Linked DNA regions of Mytilus edulis. The protein of the gene in region 1 purifies or fractionates together with the protein of each later gene. This does not show direct contact. Links are inferred from orthologs where the notes say so. Each region holds a gene or a part of one and is shown on either strand. Other genes may lie near its edges.

What was found.
Region 2: the proteins of cyclin-dependent kinase 7-like (region 1) and CDK-activating kinase assembly factor MAT1-like purify together in Drosophila melanogaster (affinity purification with western blotting; 3 studies listed by BioGRID, with this or other methods). This does not show direct contact. The link is inferred for Mytilus edulis from reciprocal best matches to the Drosophila melanogaster genes Cdk7 and Mat1.

Annotation. Positions count from the first base shown.
Region 1 is NC_092344.1:104,148,616-104,155,592, reverse strand, and holds the start of cyclin-dependent kinase 7-like, read right to left. Parts: upstream 3,015-6,977; 5' UTR 2,950-3,014; coding exon 2,890-2,949; intron 1,029-2,889; coding exon 969-1,028; intron 607-968; coding exon 505-606; intron 180-504; coding exon 111-179; intron 1-110.
Region 2 is NC_092346.1:61,994,006-62,002,003, reverse strand, and holds the start of CDK-activating kinase assembly factor MAT1-like, read right to left. Parts: upstream 3,012-7,998; 5' UTR 2,969-3,011; coding exon 2,880-2,968; intron 1,943-2,879; coding exon 1,790-1,942; intron 1-1,789. Other genes in the region: tRNA (guanine(37)-N(1))-methyltransferase-like, read left to right, coding at 3,307-4,003, 6,189-6,377, 7,386-7,994.

The DNA.
Region 1 (6,977 bases):
CCTTGCAAACTGCTCTCATAAAATATTAGTAGAAACAGTTGCCTTTTTGCTATATTTTGTATTAATAAAACAAATAAGAACACATAAACATAACCCTTAATTGATCATACCTCTAAATCAGTATCCATAAAATCAAACACTAAACTGACGTTTGATCTATGTCCAAATACATCTTGTAACTGAAATCAATACAAAATACAATAATCAAAAGCATCCACAAAAAAAAGCAATGTATTAATTTAAAGAAATGATATTTCATTGTTGATCATTGTTATAAAAGAATCTAGTTGTCTTTTCAGATTTTTTTGTCTCATTTACATATACAGTATATATTTTTTTTTAATTCATATTTCGTAAAAATAAAAAAAGAACAGAAATAGTCAATTGATTGATTGCTGTTTGCTAAATATGATAAATGTTGAATGCATATGCAGGATGATTTGTAATTTAAAAATTACATATATACATATCCATAGAGGTAAATATGAAAGTTTCACTTCTTACACCTATAATATGGTGATGTTTAAGTTCTTGTAGAAGTTTAATTTCTCTCAATGCTGTCCTGTTTATACCATCTGCAGCTTCCTCTCTAGTACCAACTTTTATCTGAAATGTATTTCACAGAGCTTTATCTTTTAGGAAATAAAAATTTAATTTAATTCAATGTTTCACACATCTAAATGGAGATTTTATTATATATCAATACAATATAGAGGTTGATTCATATGATAGGAATATTAATTTTTATCAGTAAGTTATTGTTTTTATTTCTTTTTTAGATTATCTACTATTAATAATAAGGCTTCTCAAAAAATGGACGGACATATGCAAGACTGTAGTCAATTTTTATAGTTATGTCATTTTGATTATCTTGTCTCATATTTTACGAAGTACAAAAAAATGTAGAACCATTTATATGTTTTTTAATATATGTATTAAATGTGTTGATACCTGTATGTACAACTGACCTTTTTCACAGCAACAATATTTCCCGTCTCAAGGTCTTTAGCCTTATATACTGTAGCAAACTGAAATAAAAAAAAACCAGTCAAATCATGGCAAAAATTAAAAAGAAATAATTGACAAAAGAGATATTAATGTCATGAATGTATGACACCTGAAGTAAGTGTTACCCACTTCTACTAAAAAATACAAATAATATCGAATAATGGGGTGTTTAAAATATAAAGAATAGAGAATAACAGGAAAAATTTATAATTATAGAAAATATAACATGAAAAATTAAAGAATACAGAAATGACCATGATGAAACCTCATCCAGAACTTTTCAAATCTTGTACAAAAAAAAATCGATGCCTCCCCCATCTGTTCAGTATAAAAATTTGACAACACCCCTGTTCCATTCTAAAAAAAGTTCAAGGCCACACTTAATTTCCTCCCACCTGCTTCAGGTTACATACATGTAACCAGTCCTTTACATTCTACAAATGTGATAGAAATGGTATGATGTCATTGATGACAAATGATATTCATGTTGTTGACTGTTGATGACTACTTCGATAAATTAGTCGACATATTTTTTTTTTAATTAGATGTCTCTTTAATTTATTAACAACAAAAATACTTAAGGATTTTCTAACCTTGTGTTGATCCCTTGGTCTCTCATACATGTATCTTGCAATTGGGTGCTTGATAGATATAGGGTTATTGCATGCAGAGCTAGCAATGATTTTCTTTAAACAAGATTATAAAATTAGATACTGGTTACAACAAGTAAAAATATGGACCAATTCAAGTACACTAAGTTTTTTGTTGTATTTTAAGGTTGTTTAGGACTTTTGTAATCAATAAATGCTAACACATAGAAAAACCAGTAAAATTTTATAACAAAAATATCTTTTTTTTTAAAGTCTGTGGATTTCTAAAAAATCTTGGTTTTATTTGCCACAAAATCACCCTTTTCTATTAAATGCAATGAACATGATGAAACAATAGGCCAGTTCCATTATACGGTTTTCAGACGAATCTGTCATGTGACTTCATCACCACATGACAAAAATGCATGCATAGAAATTTCAAACACATGTTGAGTAAACGGATGAAAAAGTTTTACTTTATACTGCACAAAATATTTGGGAAATTAAAAACTAAAAGGATGGTTACCCTCCCTCATTCATATGGCAATCACGATTATGTACTTACAGAACATTATTTCTTTACTATCTAAGTATCTTACAGAATGACAATTGTGAATGTGCTGGAAACTTTTAATATAGCAGGGATACAGGCGTGCCTTCTATCTTGTAAATGACGTTATAAAGGCATGGGAAATTGAGGATCTTTTCCGGTGAAAGACATGATTCCAGAAATGACCTATAAATAATGCTTTGCATAAAGTTTCCCTTTGGTATATGTACAAAATGGCTCAGCTCTATTATTCGTTGTTTATGTTGTTTTGATACTTAGGAGATAACTGTATTGTATTTTAAGCTCCGACGGCATCAATTGGGGATTTGATGGTCGCAAATTAAGTTTACTGGCAACGCGTTAGCGAAGACAGTAAATGAGTATTTGCGACCATCAAATCCCCAATTGATGCCGTCGGGAAATCTGTCATATGTCGTCTGCACTTGGGCGTACGTCCCATAGCATCAATTGTCAATTGATGCCATGTAAAAAAGTGACGTTATCCAATCAAAATGAACGTTACAAACGTTGTTGCATTAGAATATTGCATTTTGAAAATTTGACATGGCTAAAGAAATTGTCATAATCCTTATTTATATTCAGAAAATACATGGTAGGAAAAACATGAATTTTTAAAAAATCTTTTTCCTGAATGCTATTGAAAAAAATTTAGTTTGGGTAGAGATGGCATACAATCCCCTGATTTACGTTTCAAAAATATTATTTTGCCATCAATTCTACCTGTCCTTCTCCAAGAAAGTCAAGTTTTTCATATCTTTTCAACTTTTCATCAATGCCCATATTTTTAACAGGAAATGATCAAACTGTTGCAGTTTTAGAGTGCAATCCGGATAAGACCTTGAAAATATCCGAATTGGGAAGGTAACGTTTGTTTTAATCAGAGTGGATGGGGTTAAATGATTAAAGAATATAAATGCCCTTAGAAAATGAAGATTAGAGAAAAAAGGGGTTAATTTTTTGAAGAATAGAGAAAAAAGGGGGGAAAATTAAAAGTTTAAATACAGAATAACAGACCCCCCCATCCAGACCCTCATATATACAATAATGTCAATAATTTATTATATTTCTCTGTTTTAACCAAAATATTGTTAAAATGTTAACTGTATAATAAAGAGCAGGATATTTTCTAACGCTATTTGTAAAGGTTTTTTTTAAGGAAATAATTTTTAAAATAAGTAAAAAATAATCTGCAACAACAGTTAGATTTAAGCTGAGACTACTATAACACTGTTAAAGTAGTCTCAGATTTAAGAAAAAAAATGTCTGAGATTTTTTTTTTTAGTTGCATTCTATTAGTATTATCTTGAGAAATGCAGGAGCTAGATTAAAGGTGTAAAATTATGAAAAAAAATATAAATCAGCACAACAAGATCTATTAACCACAAAAATTTGAGAGAGAAAAAAAAACAGTAAACCAATTTTGAGAAATTCCCCTGCCTCATACACATTTTTCATTTTTTTTTTTTTTTTTTTGCTGTTATTTTGACAGCTGCAAAAATTATCGGCCTAATATGATCTGTCTACTCTGATATTTTTTACACCTGTTTTGGTGTTATTGTCCCTGTAAGAAAAGCTTTTAAAGTTAAAATTGGCTCTTAAATAAAAAAGTAGCCAGGTTTAATATATTTATTGCAAACATTATTTGCAGCACAAAAAGAGTAACTGAAGAGTGCGCAAATGAAGGTAAACATTAGCTATAAACTGATGGTGTACTGTTTCTCTCTCACCAGGTTAGGCATACAATCACAGGATGTGACTCTTGTTTTTCATCACCTAGCGTCCATCATCGGTCATCAACTAATAACTTTTACAAAAATTTTCTTCTCTGAAACTGCTGGACTAATAAATTTAACCAAACTCGACCACATTAAACATTGGGGTATCTTGTTTTAAGAAAATGTGTCTAAAGACTTTGCCTGCCAACCAATATATATGGCTGACAAGGCCAAAAATAGTGAATAGGAAGTAGAATGGAATTTTGTCTGATATTATGAAAATTGTTTATATGAATAGAGAAAATCTGACAGGGGCAAACATGCCTAGAATGTTTATTTATCACTACCAATTGTTAGTATACGTCTAAAGTGTCAGGTGACTTGTATAAGAGTTAATGCCCTTACATAACAAATTTTACCACCTTTGTTCTCTAGACTACATTTCTGCATATTATCTTGAAAGCTATTATATAAGATACAGATAAACATTAAATTGCGAAAATGATCAATAAGACAGTGCTACAAATAATTTGAATATAATGGTCAAAATCGTCAGTCGACTCTAGCTTAGAGTTATTGCCCTTTGAAGGCTATTGCATGAGTTTACCATTTTTTGCATTTTTGCCTTATAACTTAAAAATAAGATTTAGATAGAAAGAATCTTACATAAGCAAAAATGATCTGTGAGACAAAATTTATAATTGAAAAATTGAAAAAAAATGTCTGATGACTCCTTATTGAAGTGATCGTCCTTTAATGACAATTTTTATCATTTGTTTGCCCTGTGTTGTGTTTTAAACAGAAACTGAAGAAAATAGAGAGAAACTAAACAGATTAAATGAGTAGCAGCTCAATATCAATAAAACGGTGATTTTTGTCTTGAATTCTATTTTCGTTCAAAATGTTGGAGAGTTTCTTTTGTTAAATATGTAATAGACCAAGGTGAGCGAAACATGTTCTTTAGATATCTATGATTTGTAGAATAATTTGAAGGTAGTTGTTGGTTAAGTGGTTATTTTTTTATTTTTTATGATACATTTTTTTTTTGTGATAAGGTGATTTTCTGAGATATCTTATGGGTAAAACATCAGAATGAGTTCCTATCATTTGGTATATTGCCACCTTTAAATTTCATAGTAGAAATATTTTTAATCTCTGTGCAGGTTAAGTTTATTTGGTTTATAGTCTCATTACAATGAAAATGTCTTTTACGCATGGCTAATAGTGGATTGGACTTTGATAGCATTAATCTAATATTATTACACTGTTCCTGTAAATGGTTATCCTTGATCTAGCACGTTCTATGTACTGATTGAAGTCTATAAGTAAATAAATCAATTCTTAGTTTATTCTTATATGTTAGGAATTAAAAACAAGATTGCACACGGTGAAATGTCTTGCCCTTTTAGCTAACCATTGATTTTATGTTGGTATCCCTAAATATAAAGATTTATCAGGGCCGTAACTAGCCTCATCTAATAGTGAGGCAAAATATATTTAAAAATTATATATATAAAAAAAAAATTGACGAGGGGTTTGGGGGCCGCTCAAGGCCCCCAGAAGCTCTGAGAAAAATTACGAAAAATCGTGCATTCTGAAAGTTTCCCGGATTCTTTCCGACATTAAAACGCAATTAATTGTTTGCTATTTTTCGACAATAATCTGGTCTCAAAGCAAGAACATAGATTCATTGTGATTTAAGACTTTTAGGTTTTATGGAAAACATTAAAAGACCGATATGTAGGATAAAGCAAAAATCGTAATTCTCATAATCATTAATACAGGACCTGTCTTGTCTGTTCTTGTCTTAATTGTATTGTGCTTGGACTATAGTTATTTTTTTATGACTAGATTTAAATAAAGTGACAGATTGTACTTTAAGTAGTAGTACTGCTTCAGTCGACAATAGGGACCATCTTGACCCTGTTTTACGGTATTATTGGTTCTTTTATTGTTGAAGACCCTCCAGCAACTTTGACCATTGTCTTTTAGAATTTTTTCTATGCATTGACTCTGTGCGATTATGTTTCGTGCACATTTACTCCATATTCCTTTATTTTCTGTTAGAGGGTCTGAACATGACTTAATGCAAGTTAAACCCTTCAATAGAAAAGCTAGGTCATATGGCAATACACTATTGTTTTTTTTTACCAAATTATTTGAATCCGGGAAATTGGTGACCTTACTTTAATTTAAACCATGTCAGCTTTCTAGTTTTATCTACCCTAAAAAAAAAACCAGTTTTGTACTCTTTGATATCAAGTTCAATTCTCCATGCAGAAACGACAATTTTTTTCTGTGTCTTGTAGCATCGTATCTTCTTAAAATATTTTCTCGCACAATATCTGGACATCGGTGGGCATGAAACATTGCAAAACCACACGTTTACAAATGAAAATCAACACTCAGCTATAGTCACAAAGTAGGACAATAAATGAACAAATGACAAACCCGGGACAGTCACATAGAAGTACAAACAATAGACTATCAACTCTGAAAACTAAAAGTAAAATAGAAACATGGATCACGAAAAACATGCAGGGGCAGACACCAGAGAGTGAAGAGAACTTGCTTCTTGCTAGACACTTTCTATGAAATTAATTTGATATTAAGACAATCTTTTGTTTAAGTTTTTTTTTTTAAATTTCTAACATGAGGCATTTGTCTCATTTGCCTCAATGTAGTTACGGCCCTGTTTATTACAACTATCACATAAACTTAACATAATCCAAGAAAATGAGATCGACAAGGTCAGATAAACCAAACTAGAAATACATGTATACCTAACAATTGTAAGTGTACATGTCTGTCTGACCTTGACCTCATTTTAATGGTTCATTGTTCAATATTAAGTTTTCCTGGTTTAGTTTTTTTTCTCTCGATATATCACGATGTTCAGTAGGTCAACTATATTTAAGGAATGATTGTAATGTGTATATGTATTTCTAGTTTGGTTTAAGGAAGGTGCACATGCCTGTCTGTCAGGATTCATCTGACCTCATTTTCATGGTTCATTGGTCGTAATTCCACACTCCTAATATGCTTTAAATATAGGCGACCTATTGCAAAAAGTATCTAAGAAACAAACTTAAC
Region 2 (7,998 bases), on another chromosome or scaffold:
CGTGCAGATGACATATGTCAGAGTTTAAATATATGTTTTAATGTTGTTTTCTATCAGTTTTATTAGAATGGAGATAACAATATTGTATTTTGAGCTCTGATGGCATCAATTGGTGCTTTTATTGTCGCAAATACCCGTTTATTCTGTTAATCTTTGATAAATATATTCATATTTTATCAAATCACCAATTGATGCAATTGAAGCTTAAAATACAATACAGTTATCTCCTAATTATTAAAGTTAACACCATCTTCTGTCATGACTGTCTTCAATGGTAACTGAGAAAGGTACAACTATTTTAGTAGTACAGTTTAACTAATTAGAGCTTTCATTATTTACCTTTTACAATATAAAATAATAAGAATATTAATCTAAACATCCTGCAATTATCTAATCTTTGAATATAAATGTACAAGCATATGTAACAGATTCATGTAATAGAACCATAAATCTCTCTTCTTTTCTGTCTTTTTTTTTTTAATGTTGAGGACAAATCTTACCTCAGTGCATTATTAATAAACAATCAGGTGACTAGAAAGGGAATAGGATGATACTGCAATAAATGTGTCGTATATTTAAGAAAAGAATTATTCTAACATGACCTGCTTCTTTCGCTTTGTAAACAACACTGTGATAAAATTCTCGATACATAATAATGGCTGTTACAATATACTTCCCACGTAAATCTACATGTATTGGAACCTATTTGCAGACCCTTTGCCGATTTTATTGATTTAAAAAGTGCAATTAAAAAAGTCAAAATAACTGTTATTCTTATTCGGATGCATAATATAAAGCAGTAATGCAGAAGAGTTCGGAGAAATCAACAAAATAAAAGTCTATTAATTTTTTGGCGCATTTAAGTCATTTCAAAACATGACGTCATACAAATGAAACCGCTAAAGTTGAAAGTTTTCTGTTACGTGAACCATCGAACTTCGTATGATATTGTATTAAAACTGATTTTTGAGTTAGTTTTTGTTTTATTTTCTATTCTGTTGCATTATTTGCATATTTACTAATTTCAGTAAGTCAACGAAATACCAACTTTGGATTTGACGGAAGCTTACGGGAAAATCATGTAAATTAAAAATGGCAAATGTTGGGTTTGAGAATTAGAAGATTTAACATTTTTTTTTCTAGCGGTTATTTACGAAATAACCCATGCAAGCTACGGATTTTTAAAGATATTTGAGCTTTATCTAACAGGGAGTAAAAAAGATCAACCACACACACACCAAACCACCCCTAGCTTCAGTATTTTAATGACCGTATTTGTCCTATTAGAATCCATGAATTATTTCTTAATTTGAACATAGTTTAATGAAGGAATTGTTTTTTTAACTGAAAATTGGAATTGATTATTTGTATTTCAGATTGCAAAAGAAAATAGAATCTTGGTTGGGATATTGTTAAAATCTCAAAGCCACATATGTTAATTTTACTGATTATCTAAGGCAAAACAATCTTCATTTTAAGGTACTTTTAAGAGGGGGGTTGGATCCTGAAATCCCAGGCTTTAAAACATGAAATCCAGAGGTCCCAAATTTAAAGAAATTTAAATCCAGACATCCTGAAATTCGAAAAAAGAATTCCCTGATCATGTAAAGACAATGAAGGATCAATTCCAAAATACTGCGTTTGAAAACACCAGATCCCAGAGTCCCGATAAGGGTCTGACTGCCCTATTTTAAAGCTGAATTTGGAATCCAAGATGGAGATTCTGGCTCACTTTGACTGGTGCGTTAAGTTCTGATCTATTATATGATCATATACAATTTAAACATACTCTCTCAAAATCTTTTTTCGAATGTCTACTTCCTTTTCTATATAAGGATCTTCAAAGAGTTGTAGTCTAAAATTGCTTCTTCGTAATGCTGTACCACATTCAGGACAAGCTCCAGAACCTTTAATGAAGAGCAAGTCTACACAGCTTTCACATCTAAAATAGATAGGTAAATAGTCAAATATTGTTCTATACAACTCTAACATCTGTTTTACAGAATAGGATCAAATATTTTTATGTATTTGAAGAAGACTTAAGATTGGCTTTACTATATGCTCTCAGAAGTTTAGTACATCTGAAGTACATAGTACATGAATTTTTTTTTAATTCACATGCATGTATTACCAGCTTTAATTAACAATTTATAGTCTACAAATGTAGTATTTCAACTGTAAACAGTTCCTAAGATTGTCTATAATTGCTTACATCAACTTCATTTGAATTTTGTGGAAAGTTGTCTCTTTGACAATCACACCACATTTTTATATTATTATTAATTTTTTTTTAGTTTTAGTTTCTGATCTGCATTTTACTATAAAATTATTTCACACTAGAGTTCTTGTATATTTTTTTTTTCAAGTTAAAAATAATTTTATTCTTTTGCATTTAGTTTCTAATTTTTATAATGTTTTTTGTTTTCTTTTACAGGCCAATACTGATACTATAGTTTTAATGATTCAGTTTCCAGATCCAATGACATTGTATTATAAAACCAGATGTGGGTACACATAACCTAAGAAGGCCAATTTGTTAACTCATCACTCATGTGGGGTCGTGCAGACACTACTATAGAAGTACCCTTCATATCATCTATCTCCCTCTAGATCTCTCTCTCTTATTTTTTAAAATCTTTCTAGGTTTTCACAGATCTATCAACTTTGCCAGTCATTAAGGTCAGTGTGAGCTCAAGTTGTGATCACTTTAATCTTAATTGTAAATACACCCTGTAACTGAAACTTGGGTAAGCTTGTAAGTTGTATCTTAATAAAAATTTTAACTTTTAGACTTTTTAGTTTATATTTCATTATTGACTCAATTTCATTGAAGTATGGATTTTATATCATAAGGATTAATTTCATTATGTACAACATACAATGAGTGTCCACAGATATTAACAAGCAATTTCAATGAAGGATTTCTGTATTTAGTTGTTTTACATCTTGGACACCCTTGATCATCCATGCTGAGATACAAGGGAGATAATTCTAAGGAGACATCATTGAGACTATTTTTATAGACTTTAAAATATGATCTATATCATTGAGTTTGATGCTATTTCATATAAAATTTAACTAATTGATTTTGAACGATTTTAGTTATATGAAATTTAACTAGGAGTAACAAGATATTTGTCTACAAATAGGCAATGTATTATTATTACCTATTAGTAAACTCTCCCACTCTTTAGTAAAGAGGACCAAAGAGTATCAACTTCCTGTTGATATTTTTGCACGTTTCTCGATGCAGAAATGACAAAACGTCCTTATCTTTGAAAAGTTCATTACCAAATAATTTCATTCATGTTCATTAAACAGCTTTTTCATCGATGTATTCCGAGATTATCATCTATAGATTCCAAAAGACTTGTAGTTGTAAGAACTGAAACAAATGGACATAAATTTCTCCAAGTTGCAAGATACAAGTTTTTTGATAGAATACCTCTGATTAATTTACAGGCCATTTCATCAAATTTCTATGATATTTTCAACAATTTAAAATTTAAAATGGATAACATTGACTCTGAATCTGAGGTGTCAGAATTGTGTCCCCCTAAACATGTTATAGGAATGAAAGTTTTAGACAAATCTGCCTTCAAAAGGACTTGTAAAATTCCAGGCGTTAAAGTACCAATTAAAGCAATAAAACAAATGAGTAAATGTATGAAGTTATCAATGCTGAGGATGCCAAAACTGAAACCCATAGCAGATCTTGAAAACTTTGATCCTGATTTTAAATCACACAAGCTATTTCTTCTCAATCCATTGAAATACAAGTCACTAGACGATTTTAGCAATGAAGAAAAACAAATGTGCAATGAAGCCGACGTAGACTTGACAAGTTTTCAGAAGTATGATACAGAGTTGTGCTATGAAAATTGGACAGCTTCAGAAATTATTCCAGCTATCGTAAAAACAAATGTCTCTGGATTTTCCATTATAGGGCATATAGCCCATCTTAATTTAAAAGACGAAGTCCTCCAATATAAACATATTATAGGTAATGATAACTTTTAAAGCAGTTGTGGGAAAACTGTTAGTTTAGTAATATAAGTTAGAGAAAATGTTGGTTTGTAATAATTACTTCATGTACAATCATAATGCATGTCAATCACTAAATGACATTGCATTCACATTTTAGAACAAATGCATTGTGCATGCATATTCAAATGTATTAATGTACCTTTACACAGATACAATATACAGTTGGTATAATTTTTTTTTACAAAGACAAGTGTCTGTGTCCTTGTCCAATACTTTTTTTATATTGAAATCTACATGGTAGCTAATTTTAGTAAAAAATGTATTAATCTGCTATTACTAATAAAGTTATTTCTTTCTTAACTTAAAAATTGACAACTTTCCATGAAATAAGGTCGTGAGTACTGTAATTAAAAAAATACACATTTGCACAATGTCAGATGAAATAAATTTGACCATGTTGTTTGTTTTTGTTTACCATGTTTACACTTCTTTTTATTACATGAGGAGTTGGTGATCTGTTGTACTCGCTATTGTCAAATATTTTTAGTTATTTCCATCATCCCTTCTAATGTTTTTTGTACACGAAAAAAATGAAATAAACTACATTTTAGTTAATTAGAATAAGAGTAAATTGGTAAATATATATTAAACTCCCCAAAACATACATGTAGCAGTTATACAATTACAATAGTATAACTACAAAGTTTGTAAATATTTCAACCAGTTTCAATTACATTGTTGTAGATAAAAAGAAAGCTTAAGACTTGAAAAAAAGTTTGTGAAAATTGTTTGCTTTAATTTACTTGGAGACTCTTTTTATGTTTAAACAGTTAAAGTCAATTAACGCATGATTAATTAGGCAAGGATTAATGTACATTTTGAATTTGTAGATATATTGTATAGTATATAGACAGTAATCTTTTATTAAAAGCTGTATTTTGAACTCTAACTGTCTTTTTATTAAATTTTAAAATGTTTAGTTTATGGGTTAATGTCTGATTTAATCGGTGTTAAACTACATGTAGACAAGATCAGTTTCTTTTATTCATGTGAAGTAAGAACTGTATTGGAGAGTCCAGTAATTATTTTTTTTCTCCAGAAAATGTATACTGTAAATTCAGAAATTATTGCTTGCAGTTATTATTGGGATTTTTATACGACCACAAAAATTGAAAAATTTTTGGGTCGTATATTGGTATCACGTTGTCGTCGTCCGAAGACATATGGTTTCCGGATAATAATAACTTAAGTATAAGTAAATAGAAATCGATGCCTCTGCTGGTGGACTATTAGTCCCCGAGGGTATCACCAGCCCAGTAGCCAGTACTTCGGTACTGGCATGAAAATACGGATTTTATGTGTTATTAAAATTTCCTGTTACAAAATATTAAAAATTATTATAAATTAAGGAATGAATCTCCCTCATGCAAAGCTCTGATTCCTTTCACGGATTTGGCTATACTTTTTTGACCTTTTGGATTATAATAGCTCTTCATCTTTTATATAAGCTTTGGATTTCAAATATTTTGGCCACGAGCATCACTGAAGAGACATGTATTGTCGAAATGCGCATCTGGTGCAAGAAAATTAGTACCGTCAATTTTATTACTACCACTGGGTCGATGCCTCTGCTGGTGGACTATTAGTCCCCGAGGGTATCACCAGCCCAGTAGCCAGTACTTCGGTACTGGCATGAAAATACGGATTTTATGTGTTATTAAAATTTCCTGTTACAAAATATTAAAAATTATTATAAATTAAGGAATGAATCTCCCTCATGCAAAGCTCTGATTCCTTTCACGGATTTGGCTATACTTTTTTGACCTTTTGGATTATAATAGCTCTTCATCTTTTATATAAGCTTTGGATTTCAAATATTTTGGCCACGAGCATCACTGAAGAGACATGTATTGTCGAAATGCGCATCTGGTGCAAGAAAATTAGTACCATCAATTTTATTTTACAATAATGAAAACCTTGCAATAATTTCTGAATTTACAGTATCTAACTCCATTTATACTCTTAAACCTAACAGCACATGCATATGCATTCTCCTGTGTTCTGGTGAAAAAAATCAAATTCTGAGATAGAAAAGCATTTACTACATTACCTAAACAGAAATTTGATATGTTATATACTTGTACATGTTATGTTACTTACCTTGTATCAGTATGTTGATCTTTCTTCAATTTCTATTGCAGGCCAGGTTTTAATGGATAAAAACCCTTCAGTGAAAACAGTAGTAAACAAAACTGGTCAAATAGATAATACTTTCCGTAATTTTAAAATGGAATTAATAGCTGGGGAAGACAATATGATGGCTCAAGCAAAAGAACATGGATTTACATTTGAGTTTGACTTCTCAAAAGTATATTGGAATCCCAGATTGAGTAAGTTTTATGATTTTTTATTTGTTACATTTCCATGCATAATTTATGGTTGTACCAGCGACATGTTTTGGCATGCAGCTTACTTACAGATGATATATCTATTTTTTTTATATACAGTTGCAATGTACAAATATGATGTAATAAAAAATAGCTGAATGACAATTTAAATTCAATTTGCATAGATAACCAGACTGATCATTCACAAGGCTTATGTTTAGTACATGTATGATAAGGGCCTCTGGGAAACTATTAAACCATGATATTCTCTAAAATAAAGTATTGTTGCTGTTGTTAAGTGAGAAGTATAACTTGTACAAATAATTTTATAAACTTGATAATGTGAGTTATATTTTCTTGCAAAAGATAGGTGAAAGTTACCAAAGTGACATTCAAATGTGAATTTGTCGGTTTCAGATATCTCTTTAAAGGTTGAATTATCTCCCCTTAGTCTGATTGTCAGTTATCTCCTTTCTTGTTAAACTTTTCATATGGTTGTAATCTGTTATTTACATGTTATAAGGCAGTTTAAATAAATTATATGAAAGCAGTAATTGTGACATCACTGACTGGATATCCTATAAATCCATCAAACAGTAATTGAGCATGTTATATAGGTTGGTGTCTGTTGAAACATTTATACCCACTGCATTTATTGGCACCTGTCCTTAGTCAGGAACCAGCTGTTGCTCAGTGGTGGTATGTTGATGTAGTTCATAAGTCTTTCTCATTTTTTTAATATTTTTTTTTAGATTAAAATATTAAATTGTTAGTTTTCCTGTTTGAATTTGTTTTACACTAGACCTTTATAGCTTGCTGTTTTGTGTTGAAGGACATACTTTGACCTATAATGGTTTACTTTTTACACATTGTGACTAGGATGGAGAAATGTCTCATTGACACTCTTATCACATATTTTAATCTTTACTTAACCGACTCCCTCTCTAATAAAATGCACCCTCATGAAATTTTGATGATAACCAATATGTTTTATATGTTGTTTACTTGTAGGTTCTGAGCATCAAAGGGTTGTTAAAGAAATAAAAGAAGGAGATATTGTCTATGATGTTTTTGCTGGTGTAGGACCATTTGCTATACCTGCTGCTAAATCAAGGAAAGCTATTGTTTTTGCTAATGACTTGAATCCTAGTTCTTATGAAAGTCTTTGTAAAAACATCAAACTAAACAAAATTAAGACAGAAGTAAACTGCAGTAATTTAGATGGGAGAGAATTCATCAAGACAATAGTCAAACCTGACATTTTAAAAAGATGGAAAAATTATAAGGAAACAGAAAATAAGACAAATTTGAAAGTTGTTATGAATTTACCAGCTCTTGGTATTGAGTTTACTGATACATTTCAGTCATTATTTGTTGATATTGATGACAACATAAAACCTACATCATCTGATTTACTTCCTTATATGTATGTGTATTGTTTTACAAAGAGTGAGTCACCTGAAGCTGATGTGAAACAGAGAATAGAGAGTACAATAGGATCACCATTACCAGATAACTTTACCATTCATAATGTTAGGAATGTAGCCCCTAAAAAAGAAATGATGTGTGTGTCTTTCCATATGCCAGCTGAGGTTCTATTTAGACAAAAACCAAAGGAGGGTAA